Linked DNA regions of Bombyx mori. The protein of the gene in region 1 interacts with the protein of each later gene in a biochemical or structural test. Links are inferred from orthologs where the notes say so. Each region holds a gene or a part of one and is shown on either strand. Other genes may lie near its edges. The genes, in order: cell division cycle protein 27 homolog and anaphase-promoting complex subunit 4.

The links.
Region 2: the proteins of cell division cycle protein 27 homolog (region 1) and anaphase-promoting complex subunit 4 form a complex in vitro, tested with the Homo sapiens proteins (2 studies listed by BioGRID). The link is inferred for Bombyx mori from reciprocal best matches to the Homo sapiens genes CDC27 and ANAPC4.

Annotation. Positions count from the first base shown.
Region 1 is NC_085117.1:10,625,430-10,642,693, forward strand, and holds cell division cycle protein 27 homolog, read right to left. Parts: upstream 10,028-17,264; 5' UTR 9,836-10,027; coding exon 9,812-9,835; intron 9,739-9,811; coding exon 9,663-9,738; intron 9,555-9,662; coding exon 9,407-9,554; intron 8,390-9,406; coding exon 6,523-8,389; 3' UTR 5,635-6,522; downstream 1-5,634. Other genes in the region: nuclear receptor coactivator 5, read left to right, coding at 1-90, 730-888, 1,918-2,035, 4,351-4,550, 4,945-5,117, 5,285-5,551; transmembrane protein 184B, read left to right, coding at 14,827-14,988. UniProt on the Homo sapiens protein: Component of the anaphase promoting complex/cyclosome (APC/C), a cell cycle-regulated E3 ubiquitin ligase that controls progression through mitosis and the G1 phase of the cell cycle.
Region 2 is NC_085119.1:8,382,882-8,400,150, forward strand, and holds anaphase-promoting complex subunit 4, read right to left. Parts: upstream 10,849-17,269; 5' UTR 10,075-10,848; coding exon 9,969-10,074; intron 9,440-9,968; coding exon 9,336-9,439; intron 9,246-9,335; coding exon 9,054-9,245; intron 7,034-9,053; coding exon 6,502-7,033; intron 5,406-6,501; coding exon 5,206-5,405; intron 4,252-5,205; coding exon 3,037-4,251; 3' UTR 3,000-3,036; downstream 1-2,999. Other genes in the region: uncharacterized protein LOC101742302, read left to right, coding at 2,616-2,815; uncharacterized protein LOC119629381, read left to right, coding at 16,323-17,057. UniProt on the Homo sapiens protein: Component of the anaphase promoting complex/cyclosome (APC/C), a cell cycle-regulated E3 ubiquitin ligase that controls progression through mitosis and the G1 phase of the cell cycle.

The DNA.
Region 1 (17,264 bases):
AAGTGCCACCTGCTGTTGCACTAAAAGACACTCAAATGGAAGATGAAAGTGAGGAAGCTTATGACAACTATGGAAATAATAATGATCATGGTGAGAATAATAAGATAGTTTTATTCATTGACAAGGTCATTTGAAATTTCCAGTCACCCTCAGACACAGCCCACTGAGTTTCTCGCTGGATCTTCTCAGTGGGTGCATTTCCGATCCGGTGGTAGATTCTGCGAAGCACGGCTCTTGCTAGGGTTCGTGTTAGCAACGTCGTCAGATTTGAGCCCCGTGAGCTCACCTACTAGTTAAGGTTACGCTGATATAGCCTCTCAAGGCTATAAGCTTAGGTAGAAAAAAATAATTTAATTTCCAAATTGTTTTTTATAGTTTGTATGTTTCTAATCTTCATATTTCATATCGACACTTGAAAGGCAAACGCGACTAAGCGACAATGCGTGAACTTTGCAGTAGACTAATTTAATGTTGAAATACCTGAAAAAATTATATTTGAACGAATCTAGCTGTAGGATTGAAATGATTTTAATAGACCTAGAATTTTTGCGTATCGAATATGGTTATTGCCTATCATTTAAGTACAAAACAGTTATTGTCGCTTAGTCACGTTTGCCTTTCAAGCGTCGATATGTAACTTAAAAACATAATTCTTCGTAAAATATTATCAAATGTAATATAATATATATATAATATTCATAAACATAAATAAAAAAATAAAAAATTTAGGTTTTCAAGAGGAATTTGAAGAGGGCAACAACAGGCCCGAAATTCATGATGAGAGAGGTAGAGGCCGTGGCCGTGGCTTAGGGCCACGAGGTAAAGGAGTCCGTGGGGCACGATCAAGAGGTCCAAGTTTCTGTGATAGACCACCCATCAATCCATCAGGTTAGGAACTTCCATTTTGTATTATTGTAAAAAGTCAAGAAAGTAATGTCGCTTTAAGCAGAATTTGATATTTATTCATCATTTATTTATTTTACAAATATGCATGCAATGAGTTGTCAATATGATTCTTTGATCTAAACATTTTACCAGTATCAAAATAAAATGAAACAAAATTCTTATTTTGTAAATATGCTTATTTTGAAGTCGTCGTGGCCTAAAGGATAAGACGTCCGGTGCATTCGTGTTGAGCGATGCACCGGTGTTCGAATCTCAGGCGGGTACCAATTTTTCTAATGAAATACGTACTCAACAAATGTTCACGATTGACTTCCACGGTGAAGGAATAACATCGTGGAATAAAAATCAAACCCGCAAAATTATAATTTGCGTAATTACTGGTGGTAGGACCTTTTGTGAGCTCGCGCGGGTGGGTACCACCATCCTGCCTATTTCTGCCGTGAAGCAGTAATGCCTTTCGGTTTGAAGGGTGGGGCAGCCGTTGTAACTATACTGAGACCTTAGAACTTATATCTCAAGGTGGGTGGCGTATTTACGTTGTAGATGTCTATGGGCTCCAGTAACCACTTAACACCAGGGCTGTGAGCTAGTCCAACCACCTTGCTTCTTATATTTAATATCATGCTATTGTCATTTGACATTACCATATTAATTTCCTGTTTTTTTTAAATCATTTATTGTGCATAATTTCAATATTAGCTCAATATAAATCAACCGCCCGGACTCACAGGAAGTCCTACCACCGGTAATTACGCAAATTATAATTTTGCAGGTTTGATTTTTATTACACGATGTTATTCCTTCACCGCGGAAGTCAATCGTGAACATTTGTTGAATACGTATTTCATTAGAAAAATTGGTACCCGTCTGGGATTCGAACACCGTTGCATCGCTCAACACGAATACACCGGACGTCTTATCCTTTAGGCTACGACGACTCAATTTGTGAAAGATAGCTTAGGATGGATCAGACTAACAACAATTTATTTCATTATTTTTGTTTATCCATAGGTGAATGGGTTGATCGGAGTGGTTATAACCGATTTCCAAAGCCCCCTGAGTATCCACGAACTCTGCCGGTACCAGAAAGGAATGATTGTGAAATCATTGTTGTTGCGAAGAGTCTCACGTAAGTGTTAGCTATTGTAAAAAAACAAATAATATTGAATGGTTCTATAGTAGAATTTAAGTCTATATCATTATCAATAATCAGTATCAAATCGAGAGGTGAGAGGCTATTTAGTTTATGCGACATTTATCTTTGCAATTAAAGGTCGTTTTATACGGTATTAGTAACTATATACAAGTCGATGTTTTTAATTCAACTTCAATTATGTTTACCACATTCAAATAGCTGAAGAGGAAGAAGTTTTTTTTCATGGCATATTTTCCAAATTTTAAACCTCAAATTGCTCCTGTAAGCAATACCGTCTTTACCATAAGGGCACACGGGGCCCGTGCCCAGGGCCCCCATTCTCACACGTTTATTCTCAAAACATTTTTGTCGGGCACATTACACTTTTTTCACAAATCAGTAATCAGAAGGTATTTACAAGGCATATACTATGCCTATAATAGAAGGTTTTGCTCAACAGAAATCCCGAAAGAAACCGTTATCGAAATCGTAACCAAAAAACCAGCAGCATTCTAATATCATTAATGACATATTATATCATACTGCATTTGATTACCTATAATAAATGGTCATACTCAGTAAAAAAACGTTATTATAATTCGGGTTTTTTACTTTCCAAAAGGGTCTCAAATTCTTGTGTGCCCAAGGGCCCCATCCTAGTTTAAGACGTCCCTGCCTGTAAGTTGCTAAAGTGTTGCTTAAACCAAATGGGTTTTTACCCGTCGAAATAAAGCCTATTTTTGTCTTGTCTTTGTCTGCCCTTAGTACTTATAAAACACAACAGATTTTGATACAGTGTACATTTATTAAATTACTTAAGCTTCATAATACGTAAAGCGTCATAATACCTAAACATTCAGCTATAGAACGAAACTAGATAAAATTTATATTAACGTACTTTTTACAAATGTAAAGTGTATTTTAAATGAGAAAAGGTATTTGGAATTTTCCATTGTCTATTCTATTGTCAATTTCTGCATGCTAACAGTCATGTATTTGGGTTTGATTCGTGGAACAACCATTTTATAATGTAGTCTAGACTTCGATCTCAGATCTCAAGGTACATAATTGGGGGGTCCATATACATCTTTTGATGTATATGGCCTGCAGCCGTAGCTCATTTGACAATATAATCTAGACCATTAATGACCTGAGATGCCTTGTAACCTGATTTGAATGTCTAAACTAGCACTTACAAAAAATATATTTCATAGACAATGACAATATAATTTATTTTTAGTCATTTTTAGGTAATGTAATAATTTATATTATATTTTTAAATTAATTTAATTGTACATGAATACTAAGCACAAACAGTACTTACATAATGTCACGTTTCTCCAAAATAAGTATTAAAATACTTTTGAAATATTGCCCGCTTAAAAATAAGAAAAAAAACTCAATATCAAGATTATCAGCAGCGAAGACTGCCGCGTTGGTGCTAACTTGAAATTGAATAAGTAACGCGCAGTATTAGAAGTCACGATTGCCAAATTTGCGACATAGTGGAATGCCAGACTAACAAAGTACCTATTACTTGTTTCATATGATAATAATAGATTCTGATCTATTTGATGCTAATTCCGCAAAAGTATAGTTGAGTTGAAGAAATATTTTTCTACAGCACATTAAAAATTTGATCCACATGAATTCCTAAAAGTATGCTTCTATTAATTAAACCTTATTGTCAAACGCTTGTCTCAAACGTGCTAAGGTTTCGTATTTATGAATATCTTCTAAGATACGTAATGGAAACTCCCGATCTGTAGTTTATTTGGCATAATGATTGTGTGTAAGGCACTTCACATATAATATAGTAGATATTTCTAAATGTATTCATGCAAATCACGAACTTATGTGTAAGTGATTTTTCATGGAAAGAGCACTATAGGAATAAGCCTGCTTCAATTTCTAATTTTATACCCTCTTTTTACACGCTTTATATTAGCTTCACTTGTATGTATGTTTGTAACTGACTCCTTTAGACGCGATTTTGACCCACTTTAAACGGCCAAATTTCATTCAAACTTTGTAGATTTATCGAGGACCGATAACAATACTTAGTGTATTGTATAATGTATTATAAAAAAGCGCGGGGTGCTTTTTAAGATATTATTGAAATAATAATTCTTCTACTCATATCTGTCAGAAAAATATAACTAATAATATGCACCCCACGCTTTTTTTACAATAAAATATATTTTTCACTATTTTCAATTTACATTTATTAAAACGTATTTTCTATTTTTTTTAAACTATTATTTTTTTAATAGGTTTGGTAAAAAATTTACAATTTTTTTTTTCTTCAGAGAATATGCGGAATATATTGAAAATAGACTCAAAAGATTGGGTATAGTCGTCGATTTGCTGTTTCCAATGGAAGACGTGCCGATCGGCAAAGTTCTCGGTAACATAGCTTCGAGAGGATGTCTCTACGCTATATTGGTTATGCCGATGAATTTGGAACACAGATCTTTGACCTTAACAATATTACACGGACTACCTCAAGGTAAAATAATGTCGTTCTTACAGAATTTTATTACTGCTGGTAGGACATCTTGTGAGTCCGCACGGGTAGGTACCACCACCCTGGCTATTTCTGCCGTGAAGCAGTAATGCGTTTCGGTTTGATGAGTGGGGCAGCCATTGTAACTATACTGAGACCTTAGAACTTATATCTCAAGGTGGTTGGCGCATTTACGTTGTAGATGTATATCGGCTCCAATAATCACTTAACATCAGGTGGACTGTGAGCTCGTCCAGCCATCTAAAAAAAGAACATACATATTTATTTTAATGTCGCCAACTGGTCTCATTGCAAGTATCGTATCTAAAAGAGTACAAATATCAGGTCCGCTGATGTAATTTAAAATAGAAGAGACAAATTATTATTTATATTACAGAACATAGAAATATGCCAATAGAAGACGCATTGCAGCTGTTATCGCGCAATTTCCAAGAGGTCCAGCGCGGTGGTCCTTCCGGTCGTGAAGCAGTATATGCTCTGCTCGGACAACTTGCTGACGGCCGTTCACTTACCGTATTACAATACAACAAAGTTATCGAGTATTTACAGGTAGAAGATCATTTTTATGAATAGTTTATGATAGTATCTAAAAATTTGGGCCCTTTTCTCTATATTCAATATCAATGAATAGAATTTGATCAGGGAAATATTATTTCTCATTTTTAAGTAGATATAGAAAAATCTAAACACATTAATATTAATCGTAAACATTTTAGGAACGTCGTGACCATCAAGTAAAACTAGAATTGGGAGAAACTTCGACAGCTCCTGTGACTGCTACAACAAACAAAACACAAGTTGAACTACAGCAGAGAATTATGAATATTCTCAATGACAAGAACGTACAGACACCGCCTCCGGCACCCGTTGTCGCTCCGGCTCCTGTAAACACTACCACCGCGACGACCACTGCACAGAACAAATTACTTAACGACCCTTCATTGAGGAAAGCACTGGATTCTATATTACAAAAAATCACTTAAAAATCTATATGTACTTTTTTTATTTTACAGGATATTAAATTAAGGCTGAATAAGTCGTGTTCCGAAATAAAAACATTCTACAATAATTATTATAATCAGTTTTATTTAAACTTCATACATATGAGATTGTCTCTTTTCCAGAGCAGTTCATTAGTGATTTGAAACGACAAACAGTGCTATTATTTTAGTCAATTTATTCTTTATATACATACACATAAAACTTTCATTTGATATTTATTTTATTATACGAACTAATCTGTCTCATAGTGAACAGGTACATACATCCATTTTGTTGATCATAATTTTCAGGAAATAGTTATAACTAACATCCAAAGCGGAGAAATGTCTCGAAAGTTAAAAAAACATGCATGGTTCATAATTTGCATGAACGTAATACTTTTCTAGACACTACATGATTTATTGATATTTAAATACTGCCAGTGGATCCAGCCAGGCAAACTGAAACACTAAACAGCTGTTTAAAATAGATCACTAGTTGCTTTAGTTGTTGGAACATAATTATATTGTTGATACTTTAAAAAGCTTATCATCAGAATCTTTATTACTTGCCATTTTTGTGTCATTATAATTAGGTACATAAATTATTTCTTTTTATCAAATCATTCAAATGAGATCAAGGCCTCACAAACATCTTACAAAACCATAGTTACTTCATACCCTCTCTAAAGTTAAATTACTTGGCTAGAAGTTTATAAACTAGCTCAATATTAAGAATATCCACATCTTAATCTATATAAACATATCCACATGTACGCTCTTATTACTACAGCGTCTAATGCCACCGCACCCATTGAACATTGTAAAGCTACATTTTATATTTGGAAGAATTATTTTGGTGTCAGTTAAGTCCGATGGGTGAGAGCAATATTTACAATGGATCAGTCAGTGATCTCATGCTGGCATTCTACCAACATATCTGGAATAGTATCCTTTACATTCGTCATACTTTTTTAGGTTGATCTCTCAGGTGGATCTTCCTGTTTTGATGGATCGAATCCTTCTTTTATGTGACCTCCAGTTCCTTTAGGATCTAAATCTGTAGCCCAACTAAAGTGCATTAATGCCAAATGAGCATTACCTAATTTATTGTGAACTTTTCCCAGTAAATAATAAACTAATGACTCTCTAGGGGCTATGTCCTTTAAGTGATGTAGATCTGCTAATGCATCTTGCGGTCTTCCTGCTCTTAACAATACAGAAGCTCTATGGAAACGACATAAGGGATTCTCTGTATCTAATGCTACAGCTTTTTCTAATGTGGATAAAGCTCTTTCCATTTTTCCGAGAGCAGACTGTGCCAGACCTAACTGACATCTCAACACTCCTGAAAGTGGATGTATACTGAGAGCACGGCGTATGTGAACTTCTGATGCTTTCCAACGTTCTTGTCGTGCGTAAACTGTAGCTATACCAAACCATGCAACGTAATTTCGTGGATCAATACTAACAGCTAACCTGAAGCTAGCAAGAGCTTTATCAGTTTCTTCTGCTACGGCGTATTCGTGCCCTAATAATGCATGTGCATAAGCAGCATCTGGATTTAGCTGAACTGCACGTCTGAAGAACTTTAATGCAGTTTCACGTTCCTTATGAAGAGAAAAACAGTTTCCTGCAACTAACCAAGCAATTGGATTAGTTCTGTTTAATTCTACTAATTCTTGTGCTAAGGCTGATAACTGTGCTTCACGCTGAAGATGCCATAGACAGGTACTGTAAATTTCCATCCCTTCAGTACGACTTGGATACTGTTTTCTTATTTCTGAAAATATTTTAGCAGCTGCCTCATATTGAGCCAATTCATAATGGCTACGTGCGATCATGGTTTGTACCCAAGGTGAAGCCAATTGTTTTGGAGGTAACTCTTGAAAGGATTTTATTGCATTTTTACAGTCTAAAAATGCAAGATATTTATAAGCTTCTCCTATTTCTTTCATAAGACTCAACAATGCTACTCCATTTGAATTCTTTGGAGGTATGGTTGGAGTGACAGTTTCTATACTTTTATTTGAATCTATTGTATTAGATTTAATATTTTTAGCAGTTCTCTGTTTATTTTTTCTTGAGGGACTCTTTGGTGCTGCAAATTTCCTACTAGGTGATTTATTATTTTCCTTTACTGAATAACTACTATTATTATTACTGAATAGTCTTGATGATCTACGTGGGGCAGGGCCAAGTGTACATCTTGGAGCTGGGCTAAATACTGCATCCTTAAGTTGTCCCATTTGTGCACGTAGAGAATTAACTATTTTAGGAATTGCTTTCTGTTCATTTGAATCTGTCAATGTTGGAGTATATAATACAGGAGATTCTTCCATTGTAAGCATTCCAAATGATGGTGAAAATGGAATAGGTGCCATACCACTAAAAACACTATGCATTCGCTTCATTGGGGCTTGTGTCTCAGGAGTTATACTTGTCGACATAGCCATGGGTGTACGTGTGGCAACATTATTAGGTGTTACATTTGTATTCATGCTGCTGTTATTATGAATATTACAGTTAACAAATGATATATTTTCTGAATTGCTGACTAGATTGACTAATGTTGTAACACCAAATGTGAACTCAGAGTTGTTTATTTGGAAAACTTGTTGGGGGTCAACTTTCTCACCCATATTACAGAGCTGTGCAAATGATTTCCACATAAATGGGTTAAGAGATAGTGCTTTCCGATGGGCTTCAGCGGCTTCATTCCTTCTTCCTGTGCTGATGTATACTTTGGCAAGAAGCTGTAAAGCGTATGGCGCCTGCTCTCCAAATTCAGAAGCTATTATATCAAGGTTGGAGCCCAGTGCAATTTCTGCATCTTTGTAGCTGTAATGATAAATAACTGTATATTTGTATGGGTTTACATACATTAACATAAAAGTAAAACATATGTAATGCAACTATGACTAAACTGCCATGACAAAAGATGCCTTTGTAGGGGCTGGTGTCCTATTTAAATATTTTAATCATATAAGACATCTCTTCGCGTTCAGTAAAAGAAAAATTTGTCCAAAACATATAAAACCAGAAGCAAATTTTAGGTATTGCAAATGGACTTTGTTATTTTTTTATGAAAATTGACCCACCTATTGAGATCAGTCTTATTTTGAAGAGACATATTTATGATCCAAGAGCTAAATGTCAGTTTGAATTGAATAAGGAGCTTTCACTGTATTCAAATATTTAATACATGTTGCAGGCCCTCACAGGTGTGCTACCATCCTACCTATTTTTGCTGCTAAGCAGTTAACTTTTCTATAAATAACAACTATAGCAATAAGCGATTGAGATTTCAACTATAGAATGCAGGTACTCATATTTTGTTTTCTATTGATTTTCATAGCTAATTAATATTGGCATCTGCAGATCTTGATTGATAAAAATTAAACATGTGTATCTGATCCAAGTACATTTTTTATTTCAATTACAGAAATAAAAAAAAAAAGTTTGTGTGCCTAAAACTTCTTCTACAAGTCAAGCTCGTGTCTTTTATTAAATTTAATAATTGTTTTAACTGTGTCTACAAATGGTGGACACTACAGAAAGTAACACATGGAGCATCTGCCACCAGCTTACATATTTCGTTCTAAAAATTTTAAATTATCATTACTAATTTGTAAATGCTTTAGGAAATTAGTTTTCTTTTTGTTCCCAATTTTACCTGTTATAGCCTTGGGTGGTCTCATTACAATCTGCATATTAATCATTTATAAACAAAAAGTACATGAACTATCAAAATGCCATCATAAGTTCACCCATATGTTTAATAGAATTTAAATTGTTTGAAGAGAAGCTTCACAGGGAATTTTTAACATTTATTTTTTTTAAATGAAAAGTACTTACGATTTCAAGTCAGCTGAACATTTGGCTAATAAAAACCTTGCTTGTGGTAATGCAAGGGTTTTATTTTGAAGTAAATGATGTGCTTCATTAATTCGCCCTGACCTATAATAACATGTTCCCAACAAAAACGCAGCTTCTTCTGAGCCAACTGCAAATAATCATCAAATTATTAAATAAGCAGCGAAAACAAAAAGCACACCCAGAATAAAAATCAATATTTTGCAATGGTACATTATATTTAATACAATTTATATACCTTCCGCATACAATCTTTCTGCCAAAAATATAGCGTTTTCGAATTCATAATTGTTGAGGCAATCCCAAACGATAACCTGCGAGAAAACAAATAATTTATAACGTCCCACTGGGAGATATGAAACTTCAATTTACTGGTTTTCACCATACCTGGATAGGTTCTTGCACAATCATCTTTTTACTGTAAATAAATACTTTCCAGATTGTTTTTATTTCTATTAATTACATTGCAAGCCACAAATTCAAATCACAAAATATATTGGAAATCTATTTCGACGGACATTTTTAGTTTGTTGATTGTCTATGATATTGATAAAGCTGCCAGCCCTAAGCATCTCATATGATCCTGTGGCCAGCCTCAATCTTAATATTTCCCAAATTATTTTAAAAAACCGTTTTTACAAAATCTTAAACGTGGTTCTATTAATGGACGAGTCGTAACTTATTAAAGGAAAATGCCTGTATTTATATTTTTGTTAAAAAATAATAAGGATGAAGCGAAAAAAGAAGTTATTAAAGTTCATTATTCATCAAAATTAGTTGTTTTTTGGTTAAGCCCATTCAGTTACTGCAAGTTCAGTTAGTGCAGTTATAAATTAAAAATGTCCTGTTTACGTACTCTATAGTTGACAACTCTGGACAGACATGCCTCCCGCTATTTAACTGGAGTAGGAATTCATTTTATTTAAGTTTGGCCAGTTGTTATTTAGCTATGATTCTAAATGCACAAAAAAATTTGTAGCAATATGCCAGTATACACAATCGCAGTTGGAACGAAATTTCAATCATTTCCAGAAGTAGCTTGCTTCAAGGATTTAAACTGTGGTAGCAAAGCGTCCGAGTGAAATTGTGTAATTTGTTTTATTTTGTCTATTTAGTGTTTCTTCAGACTTAAATGTGTAATAACGGTGGCTTATTAACTGTTTAATATCTGTGAAATGTGGGAAAATGAAACAAGGCCGCTTGAGGTAGCTGCTCGGGATCCTCCAAAAAACCCACTAAAAAGTCTCAGTAAATAACCACCAGATTATATATTTAAACCTATATCATTTCATCTTAGAAATATAAAAATGATAATATAGAGTGATATATCTATATTATATATATATCTATATTATCATTTTTCATAAAAATTAAAATAAGACTTGACCTAAAGGTCTTAGTTACCAGGACATAAAATCCCCTAAAAAAAAGTAAAATAATCTCTCTGTGCTGAACGTCAATGTTTCTGTGGAAGTGGATTAGTGGATTTTATTAAAATCAAAAATAATTCGCTTATTTCATAGAGTAAAATAAATAGGTACATTAATTTGTAAACGCGATGGGAAAGTCATTCAATTGAAATTATAATTTGTGTTTTAATTGTCATTCGACCATAGTCTTATCAAAACGAATAGTGTACGACGTTGATGTGTAGAAAATCGACGGAATTTGTGTGCAATATGTGTGCAGTGTTTATTACCTGTGACATTTAATAACAAAAGGAAAACAGTGTGATAACAATTTATAATCAAATTCTCAGGTAAATAAACTGCTGTTTATCAATACATTGTGTATCCTATGTTGTATGTCTAAGGCAAATAAACATGATACGTCATTAAAGCAGCCCTTCACTAGATTCGTCTACCGAACAAGAAAATGTCAAGACGTGTGACCTCCAATTTACCGAGTTCCTATTTCGACTTTTGTGCTTGGTATTCGGTTAATTCGTTCGTAACACGCTTAAGAAATTATGTTCCAATAAACATGTAGGTTGAATGATATGGTTAATTAACAACATAAATATAAATTTTTCTAAAGTCCTATTTTCACTGGAAATCAATAAGTGACGCAATGAACTACGAAAAAAATTCAATATTTCAATAAGTTAGTTTCTAGTTTTTTTATGACAACATACCTATAAATAATTTATACATTATTTTATAAAAATAATTAAAGTAGTAAGATAACCCTGAGTGAAAATGACCTAGACACCAGTTTGTAGAAGCTCTTTGTTAAAAAAAAGATATTTTGGCTGATTTATCCAAATTCTATTAGAATAACTCAAGTGTATATGTTATACACAGTTTGTGAAGATTTTTATTATTAAACAGGAAAAAGGGTTTTCATAGTTTTAATACTGACTACTATTTCCCCACGAAACTTCATACTTATTATAAATGTTTTATTTAAGTGATATAAACTAGAATGTTATTTTTTTGTTATTGGCAATACATTTATAATAGGTTCTTATTGAAATTTTAACTTACATAAATGTTTACACAGACGATAAACATACAAAAAATGAAATGGATGGAGTAATAATGATAATATTTTCTTTGGATTTTATGAGCTGTAGATATCATTAAAATCATTTTTATTGGGATTACATTGTTCATTAATATTTTCATATTTCTGAAGCTAGAATTCATTATTCATATGTACTGACTGTAAATTGATTGAAAGCTGAGCCAATTGTTTCTACTAGTAGAAATTTAAACCAGCTAAAGCAAGAACTTTGTATTAACTCCATAAGTGAAATAGTTGAAGATAGATTTTTTTTGTGTTTTTGCATCAGATTTTTTTCTTTTACACAACTTATTTAGCATTTTCAATAATGAATGTATTGTCCTGAACTGAATTGATGTTAGTATTCTCTTAGTATAGAGAAGGGAAATAAATCAATAAAATACTATTTTCAAAGTATTTGTTAGTTGTAGAGATAAATAATAGTGTTTTTGCCGTTCTTGTGCTACAAAACTATAAGTTGTCATCATCCTTCGCCACTAAAAGTATCTGAAACATAACAAAGTGAAAATAATGAAAGTGTAACTAAACTGTAAAAATAGTATTATTTAATGTAATTTTTTTTTTTTAATATCTACACTAATGGGTTCTGCACTAGGAAAATCCTGTTAAATGAACACTAAAAACATACATAAGGACAAGTTTAGGCAGACTATGAACATTGAATCACTAAATAGTAGACCAAGTCCGGTGGTAGATTCTGTAAAACACTGCTCTTACTAGGGCCATTGTTAGCCACACTCCCGGTTGAGCTCCGTGAGCTCACCTACTGGCCCGGTGAATCTAGAAGAACCCCTTGAGGTTACTAAAATAGGCAAGGAAAAAAAAGTCAACATCTGTCTTGTGCTAAACTTACTCATGCCAAGATGATTATGATGAATAAAATGAATATTGTAATATCAGATACTCCAGCAGATATCTTGTATATTTCTTAAACCTGGGTTTCATTGGTTCTATAATACTTATTATGTGTATTCAGCTATTGTTTAAATCATATTTTATGTTGATACTTCCAATCTTTTTCTAGTAATGGCTTATTTAAAGAATACTCATGAAAGGCATGTTATTGCATATATCAATTTTTGGTAATGTTTTTTGTTTAATAAAGTAAACAATAAATACATAAGTATATATATCATTAAAAATGATAAGACTTCAAAAGAACATCTAAATGTAATATGTATGTTCTCAAACTCAATGTAATAAAATTTACTTCAAATGGTCATTTAATGCGTCTGAGTTTTTTCAATTACGCAAATATTAACTGCAGAAAAAATGCAGATAGATGCTGCCTATACTTTCACTCTTTTTAAGACAGTTCAACCAATATAATCTGCTATTTAAATATAAAAGTCAATGTGCGTATGGTCATCATATACTTGGTCCACCAGATCAATTTAGCTTTTTTTTCGACCTAAGCTGATGGTCTAGAGAAACCATATCAGCGTCACCGGGCTAGTAGGTGAGCTCACGGGGCTCAAACCTGACGTTGTTGCTAACATGAACCCTAGCCAGAGTTGCGCAGAGTCGAAGAGTCGTGCTTCTACCACCGAATCGGAAACGCGACCCACCGAGAAGATCCGTCGAGAAACTCAGTGGGCTTTGTCTGTGGGTTAATTTACTCGCGGAGCCCTTCGTCGCAAGCGACGGGTTCGACGCGACCCAATTTCGCTGAAATTTTAACTAATCTCTCTATAAGACTGTTTTAATGCCGAAGTCTAAATTGAATAAGTCTAATGATACGACTCTAAAAACTGGTATAAAATTGTGCAACTTCCCCCTCGGTGAAGGATATGGGGCGACCTGACCGACCTAGAGTCGTCAGGTATCACCTGGATGACTCCGTCGGCCTGGATTCCTGGTGGAGAACTACTCGTGTCATTGTAGTGTTGATCGCAAAATCCCCCCTACCTTGCCTGGGTTCTGTCTCGGGCGTCGAGGGGGAGTGCACGGGACTTGTTTAATGGTTGGGCCTTTACCAATTCGGCCACCGAATCTCACATATCCCGCGCAACCCCTAAACTCGTAAGAGTTTCGGTTCCAGGACCGAAAAAAAGGTCTCATTAATTTTCTCCAATGTCAGTGTCATCGTAGCCTATTAGAAGGGAGCACAAACAAACAGCTATCCGACATATTAAAACTGCGATCTTTTGTGTCGTCCAAGAATCATACATTCAGTCATAATAATCAATTTCAATTGCACATGTTATTGTTTCTATTAAAGTGACTACATCAATTAAAAGTTATTGAATGGTTTTAGAACATTGTTATTGTTATACTTAAAACAAAGTAGAACAAAAACGTAATGACTCAGCAATGGTGCTTACAAAAAAAAAAAAACACGCAATATGCTAGCATCAATTTATTTCCAAATTCACTAAAAAAAATCCCAAGCTTTCTTTTCTGCTTTTTAGGGTTCCGTAGTTATGGCAATGGCAAGATCTGAACCCTCTAATTAGATCCTATTGTATCCAATACATATACATATTGATATAAAAATTGATTAATCTTCGATTAGATTTCCTTGGATGAGTCAAAGAAACGCGAAGAATTAGTCAATATATATATTTTATCGCTGAAATAATTGGACTTTCCATTTTAGACATTGGGACTACGCCTTTTTTTTACTATTCCACTATGTTCATGCGCATCAGCAGTGCCGCTTTTGGGGAAGGACATTCAATAGCGCTGCATTTCACTGGATGAAGCGGTTCATCGCATCGATGTAGGAGAAAGATAAAGCGCAATATTTGCAAACGTTTAAACCATGAGCTCTAAATATTTACTTTTCGACAACACGATTCTTATGCAATACGTTGTTCAATGACAAAATTTTGTATCGAAACCTCTGTAAAGCTAAAAATATTTATTGTTTCAGAATGAGTACCACAGATACGGTGAATATAACCGCTCAGCGGATTTCTGAAATTGTTCACGACGTGCTGAAGCCGCTGCAAGAGCCCATATTCCTGCAGACCCGCAGCGCGCAGGTCATCGCGGGAATATTCGTGTTCACGGCTCTATTCATTACTTGCCAACAGGTGTGTTGATAACAGAATATATTGTATTATAACTCTAAGTATGTGTCATTGTATATGTATGTTTGTTTTACAGATAGTTGCCGTATCTTTTTTTTTACATATAGACGTTTTATAAACAATGAAAGAGTAGACACACATGACGGTTCATAGCTAGGAATTTTAAATTACTAATCCGTAATTTCACTTGTTTCCTTTTATTAGCGTAGACGGCAAAACGAATTCACGATACATATGATGTTAATGCCGATACTTCGAAAATCAAGTCTCTGTTGCTTTGGCATCGATTATTTCACCATATAGATAAGAAATCACTATTACTCAGCGATATATTTAGTCTAGATGATGGTGTTAAACTGTGGTGCTTCACGATCCAAAATCATTAATTGAGACAGGAATTGTGTGCTGCACGCATTACCTATATGTATTAAAATTTATGTTTTTATAAATATCTTAAGACAGGTGAGACGTAAAAATATAGCCTTCGATTCAATTGAATTATTTCAACACCACACAATTGAAAATTTATTTTCGCCATGATAACATGTTTTGTTTTATGTTCGTTCACAAAAAGGTATTTCGATGACATGATGATGAAAACATAGTATTTTTTAATACGGTAAATAATCTCTACAGTTTACATCCCTATTAATATTATAAATGTGAAAGTGAGTTTTTTTTTGTTACACTTTCACGCCTTATCTACTCAACCTTTCATCATGATATTTTACATGCACGGCGTCTCGGGTGTAGAAGAGGACATGAAGAAATTTGCACCCCGAAAAAAAGTAGTAGTATTTAAGTTTTTTTTTTGTACACTTATCGGAGTGAAGTCACGCGTAAAACTAGTAGTACGATAATAATTGAACAAAACATGCTATTTTCGTCCCAAAGTATTAAATTATTAAAAGTTTGACAAGCTGTCTTGTCACAAAATGAACAAAACGTGTATAGTATACAATTTTAGATGGTCTAGTTCAACGTGATGGAATTGTATAACTAAGCGTAGAAAAATGCTTAGGTAGAAAAGAAATTGTTTAGAAACATGATTTGAATAGAATTTAGATAATACAATATTTGAACAAAAATAAAACCCGACTAAAATAAAGTGAGACATCATCAAATACAGACGAAATCAATTAAGTATGCATTTAAGATAACTCAAAAACATTTATCTTGGCAAAATTTAATCGGGATCACATAGGAAACAACAGATTTCCAATAAAAAATAGAATCATCAAAATAAATCCATCTAAAAAAAGATTCTGATATCCACATAAAAACAAGCAATGTAATTGATAACCTCTTTTTTTTAGAGGTTAAAATAACACATTCAGGAAAACTGAATTGTCGCATCGCACAATCGTATAATAAGGAATATCAAGTGATAGAAATTCGACCTTAATCACTGAGTTCTCAAGATTTAGATTCAGTCCATTTATATTTACATAATGCCTTCTGTTTTTTTTTACATTCTTTATAAGCTGAAAAAATTTAACTGTATCCAAATTTCTTTATTAATAAAATACAATAATAAACACTAAAAATCGTAGCTCGACTAACTGGTTGCTCATTTAAGAAAAAGGAATATCGATTGACATGGAAAAAATATATAAAGCATAAACAGTTTTACTATGTGGATGAGTTTCAATCTTACATTAAAGTTGGATTGCAGGTGTAAATTTTATTTTATATCGTGATTAAACAACGCCTTAATTGTACGTTTTGATAAACAATGTACAGCCCAAAGATTGTATTTTCCTTAAAAATAACAACATGTAATTATAATTGGGAAGTAAGTATTTAATTACATTATGTACACCAATTATATATGTACTCATAATACAATCTTTATATGTATACACACAAAATCCACACATAAGAAAATAGTTTAGTAAAAAACAAACAATTCGACTTACAACTTTGAGGAATGACATGTTTTTAAATACAATATAATCTATGAATAATTTTAGTGACAAGGGTGACAAGTATTAATTACGCTTTTCTAAACAAATCGTTTTCGTGATTTACGATTTCATCTGGCTGTTTATTGTAAGGCTGTTAAAATATCAAGTTAATTATTTAGCTTGTAATAAATGGGAATATCGTTATAATATCCCTTTGCTTATTTCGATCTTGGAAAAAAATCATGCGTTTCGTTTTAATGGGTAAAATAGCATTTGTTTGTGTTATAGATTTAATAGGCAAATCAAGTGACGGTTCATCTGATGGCGACAGTAACTAGCAATAGATGCTAGCATTGCCAGCTACATGCTGCC
Region 2 (17,269 bases), on another chromosome or scaffold:
GCCGTCCACATAGTGTTTGTACGAAAAAGGTGGTCAAAGCAGTAAGGGAAAGAATTCGAAGAAATCCTGTCCGAAAGCAAAATATTTTATCTCGGGAGATAAAGATAGCACCTAGAACTATGTCGAGTATTTTAAAAGATGACTTAAGACTTGCAGCCTTTAAGAGACGTACTGCTCATTTCTTAACTGATAATTTAAAACAGAATTGGGTGGTAAAATCGAAACAACTACTGAAGCGGTACGCAAAGGGAGGTCATAGAAAAATTTTGTTTACGGATGAAAAAATGTTTACAATTGAGCAACATTTTAACAAACAAAATGACCGTATTTATGCTCAAAGCTCTAAGGAAGCTTCCCAATTAGTCGACAGAGTGCAACGTGGGCACTATCCGACTTCAGTGATGGTTTGGTGGGGTATTAGCTATGAAGGAGTGACTGAGCCATACTTTTACGTCCCTAAAACAATCCGTACAATTGACAGTGAAAATTTTTCCCTTGGAAAAAGCGTGCTTCTATTGATAACTGGCCTCAACGTTTAAAGGACTGTATAGCAGCCAATGGAGACCACTTCGAATAAGCTTTTTATACTTTAAATTGTTTTATATTTATGTATTAAACTAACACACTGTAAAAGTAATAAATGTTATTTGCAATAGAATATTTTTTTTTAAATTGTAACAGTATTTATGGTCAGGCTAAGTACAATACGACCGACGTAACTTGGCGAGTCTGAATATAGCCACAGGTGAACTTTCGCGCATGTACACTCGTAAAAAAAGTGTAATTAGCATAATTTTTTTTAAATGAAATTCGAATTAAAATTTCCATATACAGGGACCAAGTACAAATAAAATGAATATCAAAACACTATGAGACAGAAAGCTATAAAAATAACGTAATAAATTAAAGAGAGATAATAAAAGAATAATAAATTAAGACAGAAAGCTGTAAAAATAACGTAATTAAATTAATTCGAAAGTAAGCCTGAACACTGCCTTCAGTTGCGATTTGCTGTACTGTTCGTTGCGATACACCAGTTGCGTTATCAACTCTAAATAAAACTGTCAACATCTATTACGCTTTCTTCTTTTTGTTTTTAAAAAAAATAATCAAAAATGATGTTTGTCGACCGACGATTTAAAACACTATTATGCTTTGGTGGCATCTTTGTTAACGAATTGTATAAATGCCAAAGGACAGTTAGTACTAAAACAAATTTAAACACAAACAATCTTAAAACTAAACTGAGCACTAAACAAAAACAGTATAATAATAACAAATCAATGAAAACTTTTGTAGCCGCCCGTACTCAAGACAGAGATAGCGACACGAACACGACACTAATACTAGCGTGTGAGTGAGACACATTACCGCGTACCGAGCATTACCGAATTTATACGATGTCAAGAAAAGGGATGTCCAATATGCGGGTTTGAGGATGTTGTTTAATCGATTTTTTTTTTCAAATTGATTAAAATTTAAATAAAAAAATATATTTATATTCCATTTTATAGAAGGTTTAAAATATTAACAAACAGTTCCTATTGTAGTAGTTGTTTATAAATAACTGATATTCAACTAAATCGTGTCTTTCAACCAAGAAAATAAAGTGTTATTAGTTTTTTTTTATTATTAAAGATGAAGTCTCGTCTACTAACGACAACATTCAATAAGTTTGTAAATCTATTTCGTTCAGTATCTCATAAAAACAAATATCAATAAATTCTAAATCGATAAAAATCGATTGCGATATTTGATTGAATAAAGGGACGATTGTGTTTACACAGAGTAAATCCTAGCCTAGACCTCCGCCCCGCGCACGTCGGTCATGCCACCATTTGGTTCCTAAAAACGTTTGTGCGCAGCCTTCTGCGCGAAGTTCGGACTCGCCAAGATACATCGGTCGTATTGTATACGTTATTCATTACAACATTGAAACACCCAAATCACTTCAAGATAGGCTTTGCAATTACCTATAGATTTTTCTGGATTTCTCTAAGATCCCATCATCAGATCTTGATGTAAACAGGACCATTCGGGAAGTCTACCCTTTCGATAAAAATAAAAAAGAATTATCAAAATCGGTTCTAGCATTCTTGAGAAATCGGTGAACATAGATAAAAAATTATGGTCGAGTTGATAACTTTCTTCTTTTGGAGTTGGCTAAAAGGCGTGATTTTGGTAAAGGTACCAAAATCACGGTTTTTAACCTAATTACTATTTAAGGAAATAGCTCCTTAACATTTTATTATTCAAAAACATTTTCACTTTCTACGTAAATGAAGAGGTGGGTAAAATTATGCGTTCTGCCAAAGTAACTATTCAACGCGGACGAAGTTGCGGGCAAAAGCTACTTGTTATATACAAGCAAAACTAGACTAATTCATCACTAAAATTATGAAAGTAATTGAATCAATTTAAAATAAATTATGTATTCTTTGCTTTTCTGAATTAAGTATTAATGTAAAGTGTAGCAAAAAATTGTATTTCCCTTTATGAGGTTTTACTGTATTTTTAATGTTACTATACTAACTTGGAAAGCCCTTATCATTTTTTATATTTTACCACATAAGTATGATGACTGACCAAATTATGGATTTAAATTTTGTTTGTAGTTGATGAACCAGATGAGGAAATAGATGGTGATGAAATATATAATCAAACTACCACTAGCATCCATGAACCTGTTGCGGGACCAAGCAGAAATCAATCATCTGAACTTCTCTATGGAATAGATAACCAAGGATTAGATACAGATTTCAATTCAGTATTTGAAAATATTCAAATTAAATCACCACATCGTAGTTTGATTTAGTTAAAAACAGTACATAAGTCAAGATGTGTCATAGACTTAGATTTTAATACTGTAATAATTTATTTTTCCAAATACATAGTTCCAAAATAATATGCTTTTAAACAAATGTGTATAATCTATTGCCAATTACATATTATTAATTTTCAATAAGTACTAGTGTAGATAAAGAAATGATACTAGATAATAAGGATGAGTAGAATATTTAATTTCTTAAATAAATATTAAAAAATATTGTCTTCATTGGTAGTATTACTTTTATCAGGTGTGTTTTGAAATTTTCCAATAGATTGTGGTGTTGTATCGAGAGTATCGTCTTCATCATCATCACCATCAACTTCCATTTCAAATACTCTAACTTTTCGAGAACTTTTTGAAAGGATAACAGCAACTTTACGACCTCCAGAAACTGCTAATCTTGAACCGTCCATTTTCTCAAGCACTTTATAAACATTCTGTTCTAATAAAGGCGCAATATCCTTCTTTACACTTCTGTCAGTAAAAATACAAGATTTTGTGTTAATATTGAGTTCAGTAGAATTTTCTAGGAGATGTTTTACTGGTACCTGAATAAATATTGTATTTTCCTCATTTTCAGGATGTGTTGTAATAACTGACAAATATTCTGGGGAATAGAATTGTAAATCTAATAAATTTGTAGGTTCGTTTTGTTGATCATCAGTGCCATTTTGAACTAAATAAGAAGAAAAGTAGCATTTCATAACTGCAATATTACAAGATCTCTCCTTTATATTGACAGCCAAAAAATAAATTCCTTCTTTTCCATTTGATATATCCAAAAAGGCCGACATCAATCGTTTATTTGTGTCATCAAAGACTTGTGAAACTCTCAAACTATTGTGCAGGTTTTTATTCAGTTGATCTTCGTGGCATCTAATATTACATAATACAGAAAAATATTTTCCTGTATCTTTATGAACGACATCAAAAACTTTAGTGACTGTCTCTATAAGATGTGCTTGCTGTTGAACTAATGAATATTTTTTGAAGTCTTTCATGGAGAAAAATGTATCATTGTCTTTAAGGAAGCAAGCATTGTCTTGAAGAAATTTATGCCATGTGTTGTCTTCATCTTCTGGCAAAATTGTCAGTTCTTGATTTTGCAAATATTGCCCTAATCTTTCTAAATTAAATTTGATCAATTTATCAGGTGGTTTGTCTGAACTGTCTACTTTTACATTGTCAAAATTGTAGAGAAACTCCGCTATGTGGCTCAATTCCTGTTGATTTATTTTCACAATTTCACTTGGTGTTTGTTCATCCAGTTGTCTAACGATTACTACAAAAAGCCACCTGAAGAAAGCTTTATAGTTCCGCATCGATACATCAATAACCTGTTGTAATTCCAGACATTTGTTTAAAAATGCACAACATGCTTTTATCGCTTCTGTAACACTGCTTTCTTCTAAACCTAGAATCTGCAAAATGGTTTATATTATTTTAAAATATTTGCATCTAATCTATCGTGATTATATTATACAATGTGATATGATATTCAATAGATAAAGCGGATAAGTGTTAGAACCAGCGCCCTGCTTTGTCATTGCTTCAGAAATAACACCGGGTTGTGGCTAAGTCCACGGTGGACTGCCATCACTGCGGCTTCATACACTCACTTTTTTACTCCTACCTATGCTGAAAGCCTTGAGAGGCTATTTCAGCTTGACATGTAGGTGAGCTCACGGGGCTCAAATCGGGACTGATGCTAACACTGGCCCTAGCAAAGAGCAGTGCTTCGCAGAATCAACAACCTGATCGGAAATGCGACTCACTGAGAAAATCTGGCGAGAAACTCAGTGGGCTGTGTCTATGAGGTCACTCACACATTCGCGCAATGACCCACACAAAAAAAGCCGTCCTCTTCTTTGCCGAATTGCCGAATGTGTTGACAGAAGCAAGCAGCGCGCCATGAGTGCTAGCGGACCAAATCGTCATCGTTCAGCCAGCAGGGGTACTCGAATAGGAAGGAAGTCCGAATTTTAGCACCCTAAGCGTTCCATATATTTCCATTGTGTCTCAACCAACGAGCGCTATTAGACGGTTTAATTCTGCCACGGGCCTCTAATTTTAAGCGGAAGTCTAGCGGTTTCTTCGTGACTCAAAAAAGAATCAAACCCCTAAGAATTCTGTACAGGTGTGTAGTACATATGCGATAGTATTGTTGTTGTATTTATACTAAATCTTGGATTGAATATAGTATTTCAAATGGGTTAGATACCTTACCTAGTATTTATCGATTACTGCCATAGATGCCAATGTGGACGCTGCGACCCATATTGAGTAAAGAAGTCCAAGTCTATTTTTTTATTACCAATAAGTAGCAATTTATTTACAGAATATCATTTGGTTTTAATTTTTTTTTTAATGATTACCTTGTATCTGTCTTCTATCCTTGTGAGTCCTCTGAGTTCGGCTAAATAATAAACTAAACTTTGGCCAACAATATTGAGTTGTTTCAGTACCAGCTTCTGTATGGTCGAGTAACTTAATTCAACAGAATTTCCAAATTTTTTCAAGTCATTAGTTGTCAATTTTTCCAAAAGGTAAACTTGTAAATCCACTGATGGAGTACCTATCACAACAAAAGGTCGCGTTTTATTATTTTGAAATGCTTAAAACATAAGTAAGTAACCTATTCTGTTGTGTGATCAATTATTAAGTGATAGGTTATTTTTTATTAGTCTAGATCAGGGCTCAGGACCCAGACAACAGTCTATGTACAGTAATACCAAGAGGCCTGCGAGCTTACGTTAACCCTTTGAGTGCTGAGCTTATTTTCACATATTATGCAAAAAATTGTAAAAGATTTTAGAAAAAAATTGCCACAACAAAACTTTTACTTAAAAAAATATACAAAATTCAATGCTAAATTTACAGCAAAATAAATTATTATTTACAAATGTATTAACTTATTGAAAACGTTAAATATGCGCGCGCTAAGACACTTCCGTACATATCGGTACCTAATACCTTTAAACAAACTGCGCTGACCGATGGTGACAGAGAAGAGGGCATCAGAATGATGACGAGTCAATCTATCGACAGTTCGCGCTCAAAAGGTTAAACAAACAAAAAACGATACGTAGTTTAATGTATTTAGCGTCAGAGCGTGAATGCGCCCTAACATTGCTGCTGTTCATGAATGACAGTAACTTCTTACCATCTGCCATTTGTCTTCAATGATAATCAATATAGAATACTACATATCGTATGGACACAATTTAACGGCCGTCTGATGTAGTGGTAAGTGACATGGTCACTACACAAAGGGGTCGCGGGTACGAATCCCGCCAAGGGAAAATATTTGTATGATAAATATAAAATGTCTTTTCTAGGGTTATGGATGTATATTATATAATATATATTATATTTTTTTTATTGCCCTTGTAGGCAGACGAGCATACGGCCCACCTGATGGTGAGTGGTTACCGTCGCCCATGGACTTTAGCAATGCCAGGGGCAGAGCCAAGCCGCTGCCTACCAATAATAAAATATGTATAATAATGTGTATAATAAAAATCTTACATTTATTTCCGTTATCTGATACCTGTAACACCAGCTCTTTACGAACTTAACACGGGACCAGTTAACGTGGCGTGATCGTTAGTAAATATTTAGTCATTTATTATTAAAAAAATATATTTAGAAAAGCAAGAAGTAGTACAGACCTAACATGAGTAGTTCTAATAGATCAGCTGAAACCCCTCCCTCGTGCACAGATGAAGCGTAATATGCCATTTTAGTATCCATTTCAAGCAATATATGTTCCCATGCTTCAGTAATTGAAATCATCGTTTGATCAAGTTGAGTCATCAGCTGAACAATTTGTCCATGTTTATGTGCTACCGTGTTTATTTCATCGGCGTATGCAGATAATACGCCAGTGTTAACAATAGCCAAAAAAACATTATTTGTCAATCTATCCACATAAAGAACTTGCATGACACTGAAGTCATCTGACATATTAACGTCTAACACTTTGTACTCTCCAAAATCATCTTTGGCCACTTCTGCCAGTTGAATAGTTCCATACGGATACCTGCCATACATGTTCAGGTAAATGTTGCCTGTTCCGTATCCGACAATTAACATGTTCAGTTGTGTGGGATTCTGTATGTACTTGCAATCTTTGTTGTCTTCATGACTGTTTTTGTATCCACTCGACATTGGAACTTTTTGTAAAAATATTGAGGCATCATCCTGAAATAATGATTAATGACATACTTAAATAAATTAATTTGAAACACGACTTGAAAACCTACTTTCGCGGAAACTTAAAAGTACCTATTGCTGTAAAACGCTAAAATAATTCGAATAAGTGTAAGTCGAACAACCGACAGAATACTTCCGTAGTTAGGATGAACGTTTGTGGTTTTAACGAATTAAACAATTTTCATAAAAAGTTAACTCCATAAATCTTGTTTCACACTTTTCAACCCCAAGCTACGTGGCGTATGCCAACCTTTTTTTAATAATTACTTTAAATCCAACCATTTTTAGTTAGTTTAAAACTTCCAAATGTCATCCAATAGTTTTCGAGTTTTTATTTTATTTTTATTGCTTAGATAGATGGACGAGCTCACAGCCCACCTGGTGTTATAAGTGGTTACTGGAGCCCATAGACATCTATAACGTAAATGCGCCACCCACCTTGAGATACAAGTTCTAAGGTCTCAAGTATAGTTACAAAGGCTGCCCCACTCTTCAAACCGAAACGCATTACTGCTTCACGGCAGGAATAGGCAGGGTGGTGGTACCTTCCCGCGCGGACTCACAAGAGGTCCTACCACCAGTATAATGGAATATATTCATAACGTTTTGTGTTACTTGATTAGGGAGTCGTAAAAAAATAAATAAAGAGACAGTCCCAGGGAGTTCACAACAAAATTAACTATACCTATACTTAAATTCGCAATTCGCGGATTTAAAAAATGAGACCTAATTTCTACTTTCGCGGGTAAAGATTTCTTCATTTAAAAATGCGTCGTCAAATGGACTTATAAAAAAGTTAAATAAACCTTATTACAACTTTGCCTAAAGTATGCTTTTATGTTGTCACCTAGGAACGTTTTCCCTATATTCCCTATAATATTACATTCTTTAGGCCACGACGACTTGATTAGCTTTCTAGAGGGTGGATATACAGTCTGTTTACTGGTGGTAGGACCTCTTGTTAGTCCGCACGGGTAGGTAGCAGCACCCCGCCTATTTCTGCAGTGAAGCAGTAATGCGTTTCGGTTTGAAGGGTGGGGCAGCTGTTGTAACTATACTCTGACCTTAGAACTTATATCTCAAGGTGGGTAGCGCATTTACGTTGTAGATTTCTATGGGTTCCAGTAACCACTTAACACCAGGTGGGCTGTGAGCTCGTTCACCCATCTAAGCAATAAAAATAAAAATAAAATGATAATGATCATCTGTGTGAAATCATCAGCTGTGTGGGGGCAGTGTGCGATCGTTTGTTAGGTAAATTACTATTCCATATTCACGGTATCTATTTTCGAAGCTAACAAAACTTATACTGTACATGGTTCAAATCAGTTCATATCTATTTTCTTTAAAATTATTGGCTAGATACTTAAGATAGAAACTTTTTTGGAATTTTAATAACGTTTTTATTGTAATTATAATTTCTAATATAATTGACTAGTCATTTTATGAGTTTCGCAGTAATTACTATGGCAAATTTTTATGTATTTTTATATATCATTGCAAAAAAACCAATTTTATGAAATATATTCAGGCAGACAGGGTGTTAGAATTTACCTAAGCCCATAGATATCATAATATCACTGCCCACTTTGAGACATGACTTGAAGATTCAGTTGCATAATCGCTGACCCACTAATCCCCTTCCCCCAAGGTAGGCCCTCTGAGAGTTTGTCTGCTTATCTAGAGCAATATGAATAAAAACTCCTAATAGAAGAGCTGAAAGAATGTATAGACTTGATCAAATGAGCTGGTGGTGATAAATCTAATGATGACACAATTTTATGCAGGTTTCTAAAATAAATACACTTTATTTTGCCACCTGGAACATCAGTGGTGTATTGATAGATCAGAATTAACACAAAATATTGCTGACTGTAAAAAAATTGGACATTGCTCTAATCTTTGAAACCCCAAACGTTAAACATATTTAGGTTCCTTAGATTACTAGTCCTTATTTATACATATATCTACTAAATTTATAAGCTATTATTAACTTTGAATCACTCACATATAAATTATATTCAGTGGCACTTTGCAAGATGTCAGTTCGTATCGCCCATACAATACAAGAAATGCCGCTATACTTAGCAGTATCAAGTTCATCTGTGACTTCTAGTTCCAATTCATACTTATCAATTATACCCTTGTCTTCCACACTAACTGTATAAATAATTCCTAAATTGTATCCAATAGCTAGAGCCTGAAACCATTTACCACAAAATTCTAGATTTATAATTAAATACAGTTCAGTAGGTACTGTTACTTGGTATTTTAGTGCTTTATTTAATACCTTTCCATCAGGTCTCCAAGCCATCGCTTGTACACAGCCATTTTCTTTTGGAGGTGGTAAGCTCCATACTTTTTGCCAATGCAATCTATGTATTTGGACTTCACCTTAAATAAAAATAAATAAAAGTTAAAAGCTTAAACTTACAGCCTGTCTTACACTAACTAATCACCACTGCTTACGTCTTTTAGGAAAGTTTACAGTTAGTTGTTTGACTTACATTCTTAATCTATCTAAATCAGCAAAAAAACCAGACCCTAATGCAAACTCAAGTTTAAGTCTTGTCATCGTAAACTAACACAACTAATGATGATGGAGATCCTAGAAACTTCTAAGATGGCAGTCCCGTAAACTCTGAACAGACCATTATCCTGCCCTAGAGCTGACTGCAAATTGAATCAACAGCAAACAAAAGCACATCTGTTAGACTGGACTGAATTTATTGTATTCTGAAGACTCTACCAAGGGCTAAGTAGATTTAGTAATTAAAAAACTTGCTTTATGTACAAGAAAAATTACATTAACGCGATAAAATAGAAGATATAATGCATTCAGTCTGAATCATACAATCGATGTGTACATAGTTTTGTAAGAATATTTTTTTAAAATTAGATGATGAATTGAGATCTGTCATACCTTTATTATTACTTAATGCTAGCAAATCCAGACGGTTACTCCAGACCATAAGATCAACTTGATAGGGCACATGCCTCTCTCCAACTTGCCTCATACCACAATGCATTTTACTTGTAGTTAAATCACATGTACTACTCTGAGCAACAATGTTGACAATTGAGGGTTCGGCATCGGCAGTATTATGATTGATATCATATGTTATATTAGAGTTTAAAGACTGGTCATAATTAACTGATTGATGTTACTAGTAATCGTCGTGGCAAATTTTTTGAAGAGATTTCTGAGTATACAACATATTTGGGAACATTCCGAGAATGTTAATTATTTGTATACATGTCTCTAATATATTAAGTGTATAATCTATGTATACATGTGTTAACATTAGGTTGTTTTCACTTTCCAGTGTAAGAAAATTTGGTTGACATTATTTGAATTATTTTTTGCCGGACTTAGCGTATGTCATATTTTTTAAGGGATTTTATGACCTGGTAACTGAGACCTTTAATTCATGTCTTATTTTAATTTATATTCATATTTTTATGAAAAATGATATTATGGAGTGAAATGAAATGAAGACGACTAATTTGAGACATTAATCAACTGGGATGAAATTAAATGAAATGAAATGGGATGAAATATAATCTCAGTAAAATGGTGGTCATTTACTAAGATTTTTTCAGTGGACTTTTTGGAGGATCCCGAGAAGTTACGTCCAGCGGCTTTGTTTCATTTTTCCACATTTGTGCACTTTCACAGATATTAAACAGTTAATAAACCACCATTATCACACATTTAAACCCGAAGAAACACTAAATAGACAAAATAAAACAAATTACACAAGTTCACTCCTCGCGTTCCCGCCAATTTTTTAAGGGATTTTATGACCTGGTAACTAAAGAGGTCGAAAGGTTTGGAGAAGTGGACTCTGCGACCGGGTGGTATATTGAGGTGTATGCGTAGGAGTAGCAGTTAGAGGTGCCGACGGCACGAGTGGACATGAAGGGACATCAGTAGCATCCGGTTGCGCTGGTTGAAGCACAGAAACCCGTGGTGCTGGTGCCGGAACGACATCTACTAAAGAATGTTCGACGAAAGCTGGCTTAATTCTGTCGACACTGACCGTCACCTGTTTCCCTTTTACTTCAATCGACCACGTTTTCCGTCCTCGGCTCTAGATATAACTCTATGAGGACCAGAGTAAGGTTGCATTGAACGTCTAACCGAATCCTCCCTGAGCATGACATGAGAGGCGGTGGAAAGATTTTTAAATATGAAAGGTGATGGTTTAGTGTGTGAGGAACACGGAGTGGGACGCAATTTAGACATACGCTGTCTTAACTTTACGACAAAATCCGTCGGGTCCTCGAAGCCAGAGGGACCGGGAGGTACTAACAGTTCCCCTGGAAGCGTTAACGTTTCTCCGTAAAGCAATTCCACTACTGATGCTTGTAGATCTTCTTTAAAAGCAGAACGCATTCCTAATAAGACCACAGGTAATGCATTCAACCACGAATCATCATAACACATCAGAGAGGCCTTTAATTGTCTATGCATGCGCTCCACGAGCCCATTAGCACAAGGGTGGTAACTAGTAGTGCGTATACGTTTAGTACCACATAAATTAGTAAGGCGTCTGAAAAGGTCCGACTCGAACTGTCGTCCCTGGTCGGTTGTGATGACAGCAGGAACTCCGAATCGAGCAATCCAGCCGGCTACAAAGGTGCTCGCTACTTCTTCTGCTGTTATTCCGTGCATAGGCCAAACTTCGGGCCATCGAGTGTAGCGATCCACAGCAGTCAGGCAGTATTGGAAGCCAGAACAAGATGGAAGAGGGCCAATGATGTCAATATGGACATGCTTCAGCCGAGACGTAGGACTGGAGAAGTGTCCAAGTGGAGATTTTATATGCCGCGTCACCTTACTTCGCTGGCAAGCAACGCAGGTTTGTCACCAATAACGGCAATCTTTGGCAATGCCAGGCCACACGAAACGGTCTGAGATCAATCGAATGGTTGATCTAGTACCAGGTTGGCTAAGATTATGTAGCTGAGCAAAAATCTTCTTTCGCATAGGTTCCGATACAAATGGGCGTGGTCGCCCTGTTGACATGTCGCAGACCAAAACAGTGTTTGTGCCAGGAACTAAGACGTTCTCTAGTTTTAGAGAAGAATTCGCATCGTTACGATACTTTTTCAATTCGTCGTCAAGTTTTTGGCAAGCGGAGAGAGCAGAATGGTCAGTTTCAAAACTAACAGCTTCGATGCGGGACATGGTGTCCGCCACCGTATTGTCCACCCCTTTTATATGGACAATATCCGTGGTAAACTGCGAAATAAAAAACAGTTGATTTAACTGTACCGGAGGAAGCCTTTCGCGACGTTGCGAGAACGCGTAATCTAATGATTTATGGTCCGTATAAATCGTTACGTGCTGTGCGGCTAGGAAGTGTCGATAATGTTGCACACTTTCATATACTGCAAGAAGTTCTTGGTAGTATGCTGGCCACTGGCACTGTCGGGGATTCAGCTTTTTACTAAAGAAACCCAGAGGTTGCCAAGCATCACCGACTTTCTGCTGAAGGCAGGCACCAACGTGAGAACTGGAAGTGTCGGTGAAAAGCCCTAGTTCAGCGTTAGGCAACGGGTGTGCCAACAGAGCTGCAGATGACAAGCTATCTTTCAGAAATTTTCAAGTCCAGATTGAAATCGCACTACTTTGCTTCTATGATATAACTGTATAAGTTTCTACTTCTTTTGTATTTTATCTTGTATATTTTTAGTATTTATTTGTATTTAATCGTATGTAAGTTTATCAAATTCAAATTCAAAATTCAAAATCATTTATTTCAACTTAGATGTCAGTATGACACACTTGTTGAATGTCAAAATACAAATAACAATGTTAACTCTACCACCGGTTCCAAAAAAAAGCCACAGTCCTGAGAAGAACCGGCGAAACAAACTCAGCGGGCTTTTTTTTTTGTTTTTTTGGAACAGTGATCACCACTTCTCAGTGTGACATACCTACAATAGATTTGACTGGTGGTGACTCCGATAGTACACATTGTTGAGATATAGCACTAGCTGCGTATCGCCGCACTAGTCATGTTGACTCGTTACCATGGATACATTCTCTACTTAATAAGATTGTGTCGTGTGAATAAAATATAATTTGTGATATTAAAAAGAGTCTGCTTATTCTTCCACATAAAATCTTAACATGGTAGCAGATCGCGTGCAGTAAGTAAATAAAAATATATTGGGTTGCGATCCACGAAAAATAATATCGGCAAAAATTATAAAAAAAAAAGAAAGATGACAACTGCGGGGTCTCTTCTGCCGATTTTGACTGAAAATTCAAATTTTAGTCATTGGAAATTTAGATTGAAATTACTGCTGGAAGAAAAGCAATTAAGCAATGTATTCTTAAAAGAGAAACCGACGGATAAAGATGACTCACGAGCAAAATCAATTTTGGTACAATGTCTGAGCGACAAATATATTAACATCGTAAAAAATGCGAATACGACCAAAGAAATGTTAACGTCATTGGAGGCCATATTTGAACGAAAAACAGTCTGTAACAAATTTTATTTAAAACGCAAGCTCATAACAATGCGCTATGACAATGAAAGCAACTTACAGCAATATTTCCTAAAATTTGAAGGAATTCTTAGCGAATTAGCGGCAATCAACGTAAACGTCGATGTAGAAGACCAAATTTGCTATCTGCTGTCTTCTCTACCAAAGTTAAACGATCAAGTAATTACATCAATTGAGACTATGGCTTCCGAGAAACAGCTGAACCTAGAATTTGTTAAAGCAAGACTACTCGATATGGAGACAAAGTTAAAAATGGACAGAAATAGTGAAAGCTATGAGAATAATGCCTTCATCACGTGCCACTCCTGCGGAAAACGTGGACACAAATCATTCGAATGCCGAAGATCAGGACGAGGACAAGGGCCGAGTAGAGGACAGTCATTGACACGAGGATGGAGCTATCCAAGATCGCGTGGACGCTCATTTAGAGGAAATTCAAGTTCACGACATACAACGTATCAACATACTTCAGCAGCAGGCAGAGACGACAAAGAAATAGGTTTCATTGCTAGCAATATTATTGCTAATGTGGGTGAATGTGGTAACATAGAACTAATTATAGACTCAGGATGTACGGAGCATTTAATAAATGAAAAATATGAAAATTATATGACGGATATTACGTACTTAGATAAACATGTCAAAATATTCGTAGCTAACGGCCAATGTATTACAACTAGTAAAAGAGGTAAACTTAAAGTAAAATATCAAAATACTACGATTAATATTGATGCTCTAATTGTGAAAGATGTTTCATACAATTTGTTATCAGTGAAAAAGATTGTCGAGGCAGGTTTTAACATAAACTTTAATAAATACAATGTTAAAATATTTAATAAAAATACATTTTTATGCGGCACCGTGCAAGGAAAATTGTATAAGCTACAAGCCGAATTATGTAAGTCCGAAGTTTGTAATGTTACTGATGCGGCAGATCTATGGCACAAACGTTTAGGTCATTTAAATAGGAAAAGCCTTAATATACTAAAATTACCTGTATCTGATAGAATTTGCAGTCCCTGTATGGAGGGCAAAGCCACCCGAAGCCCATTCACGTCTATCCCAAAGCCTAGAACGAAAATGACAGCCGAGATGCTTCACACAGACATAGCAGGACCGATCAGACATCAAGGACCTAATGGTGAAAAATATTTTATGACAATTATTGACGATTTCTCTCATTTTTGCGTAGTGTATCCCCTGAAGAGCAAATCTGAAGCAACAGAACGACTGATGAACTATGTATTAAGAATTGAAAACGAAACGGGGAATAAAGTTAAAAGAATTAGATGCGATAATGGTGGAGAGTACACTGCTAATAGTTTGAAACTTTTTTGCATAAATAGAGGTATTAGTTTAGAATACACATTACCGTACACGCCACAACTTAATGGCATATCAGAACGGATGAACCGCACATTATGCGACAAAACGAGGACTCTATTAGCGGAAACCAATTTGCCAAAACATCTGTGGTGCGAAGCGATACAATGTGCAGTTTACCAATTAAACAGATCGCCATCATGGGCCATAAACTTCAAGACACCCAGCGGAATATTTTTTGGTAAAAACGACCTATCGAGATTGAGAGTATTTGGTTCCAAAGCTTGGGCTACTATAGTACCCAAACCGGACAAGTTTGCCAAGAGAGCAAAAGAAACAAGAATGGTAGGTTATGGAACTGTTGGTTACAGATTATGGGATCCAGAAGAAGATAAAATAGTTATTTCCAGAGATGTAAGATTTGATGAAAGCGATATTAAATTCAAAAATAACGAAGAAGTGAAACAAGTTAGATATATTCAAGACAAAGAAGAAGAAATCAATAAAGAAAATCAAGATATTGTAGAACAGGAAGATGAATTTAAAGATGCAGAAATGAACACTGATCAGATTGAAGAAGCAATAATCAGACCCAAAAGAACGATAAATCCTCCTGCTTATCTTAAAGATTACGAGACGAATATAGAAAACATAAATGAAACTAATATTGTTATATGTCTGAGTGCAAATGCACCAGAAACTTTCGAAGAAGCTATAAAAGAACCAGAATGGAAAAACGCAATCAATAAAGAGCTAGATGCACTCCAAAGAGTACAAACGTGGGAAGAACAAGAAATAACCGATGGAAGAAAGCTCATAGATACAAAATGGATATTTAAACAAAAAGAAGATGGAACAAAAAAGGCAAGACTGGTAGCTAGAGGCTTCCAACAAAAGAAAAAAGATATTTTTGACAGCGTTTATGCACCCGTTGCTAGACATTCAACCATAAGAATGATCTTATCAAAAGCTGTACAAGATGATTTAAAGATTATTCAACTAGACATTCCCACTGCATTCCTAAATGGAAAATTGAAGTCTGATGTATTTATCAAAATACCCCAAGGATTAGAAATAAAAAATAATAATAATACAGCATTAAAACTAAAGAGAGCATTGTATGGATTGATTGAATCACCAAAATGTTGGAATGAAACAATTGACGAATTTGCGAAAGCTAAGGGATTCCAAAGATCAGAATATGATTACTGTTTGTATTACAAAGAAGATTGCTGGATGCTCATTTACGTGGACGATATCCTAATCATTGGAAACGGGGAAGATATTATTAAAGCACTTAAGGAGGAGTTTAACGCAAAATATATGGGCGAAATGAAAAAACTTTCTCGGAATGGAAGTTAAAAGAAATAAAGATACATTAGAACTGAAACAAACTAAAATGATTGAAAAGATATTGACTAAATTCAAAATGGATGAATGTAACGGAATTAAAACTCCCATGGAAAGAAATTACAATATAGAAATAAATGACAATACAGAAGTTTTGGACGTACCGTATCGAGAACTAATAGGAAGTCTAATTTATCTTACTGTAACAACAAGACCGGATTTAACATTTGCAGTGTCATATCTGAGCAGATTTTTAGATAAACCGAACGAAGAATTATGGAAAGCTGGAAAAAGAGTAGTACGTTATTTGAAAGAAACAAAAGAAAAAGGATTATTATTTAAAAAGACAAATGACAATAATTTATACGGATTTTCTGATGCCGATTGGGCTGGAGATAGAAGCGACAGAAAAAGTGTTAGCGGTGGTATTATCCTACAAGGGCAAAACCCCATTGCTTGGTTTTCAAAGAAGCAACAATGCGTAACTTTATCGTCTGCTGAAAGCGAGTATGTAGCCGCCGCATCATTAGCACAGGAATTTGTTAATTTAAAAGGCATATGTAAGCACCTAGGTTGTGATGTAAATGCCGTGCTATTTGTTGACAACAAAAGTGCGATATCAATGGCCAAGAATTACGAGAACTCTAAGCGTACAAAACACATTGACATACGGTTTCATTATATAAAAGACTTGGTTGTCAATAAGGTGATCAGCATTGAACATATTTGTACCAATGAAAATTTAGCGGATGTTATGACTAAAAGTTTGAGCACAGACAAGTTTTATAAATGCATTAAGAAGTTTTTGTGCTAATTCTTAATTAGTTAGTTTACTGTTTGTTTAGTTAAGTTAGATATAGTTGTGTATTAAATAATAACTGTAAGCCATGTTATCATTTAGGAGGAGTGTTGAGATATAGCACTAGCTGCGTATCGCCGCACTAGTCATGTTGACTCGTTACCATGGATACATTCTCTACTTAATAAGATTGTGTCGTGTGAATAAAATATAATTTGTGATATTAA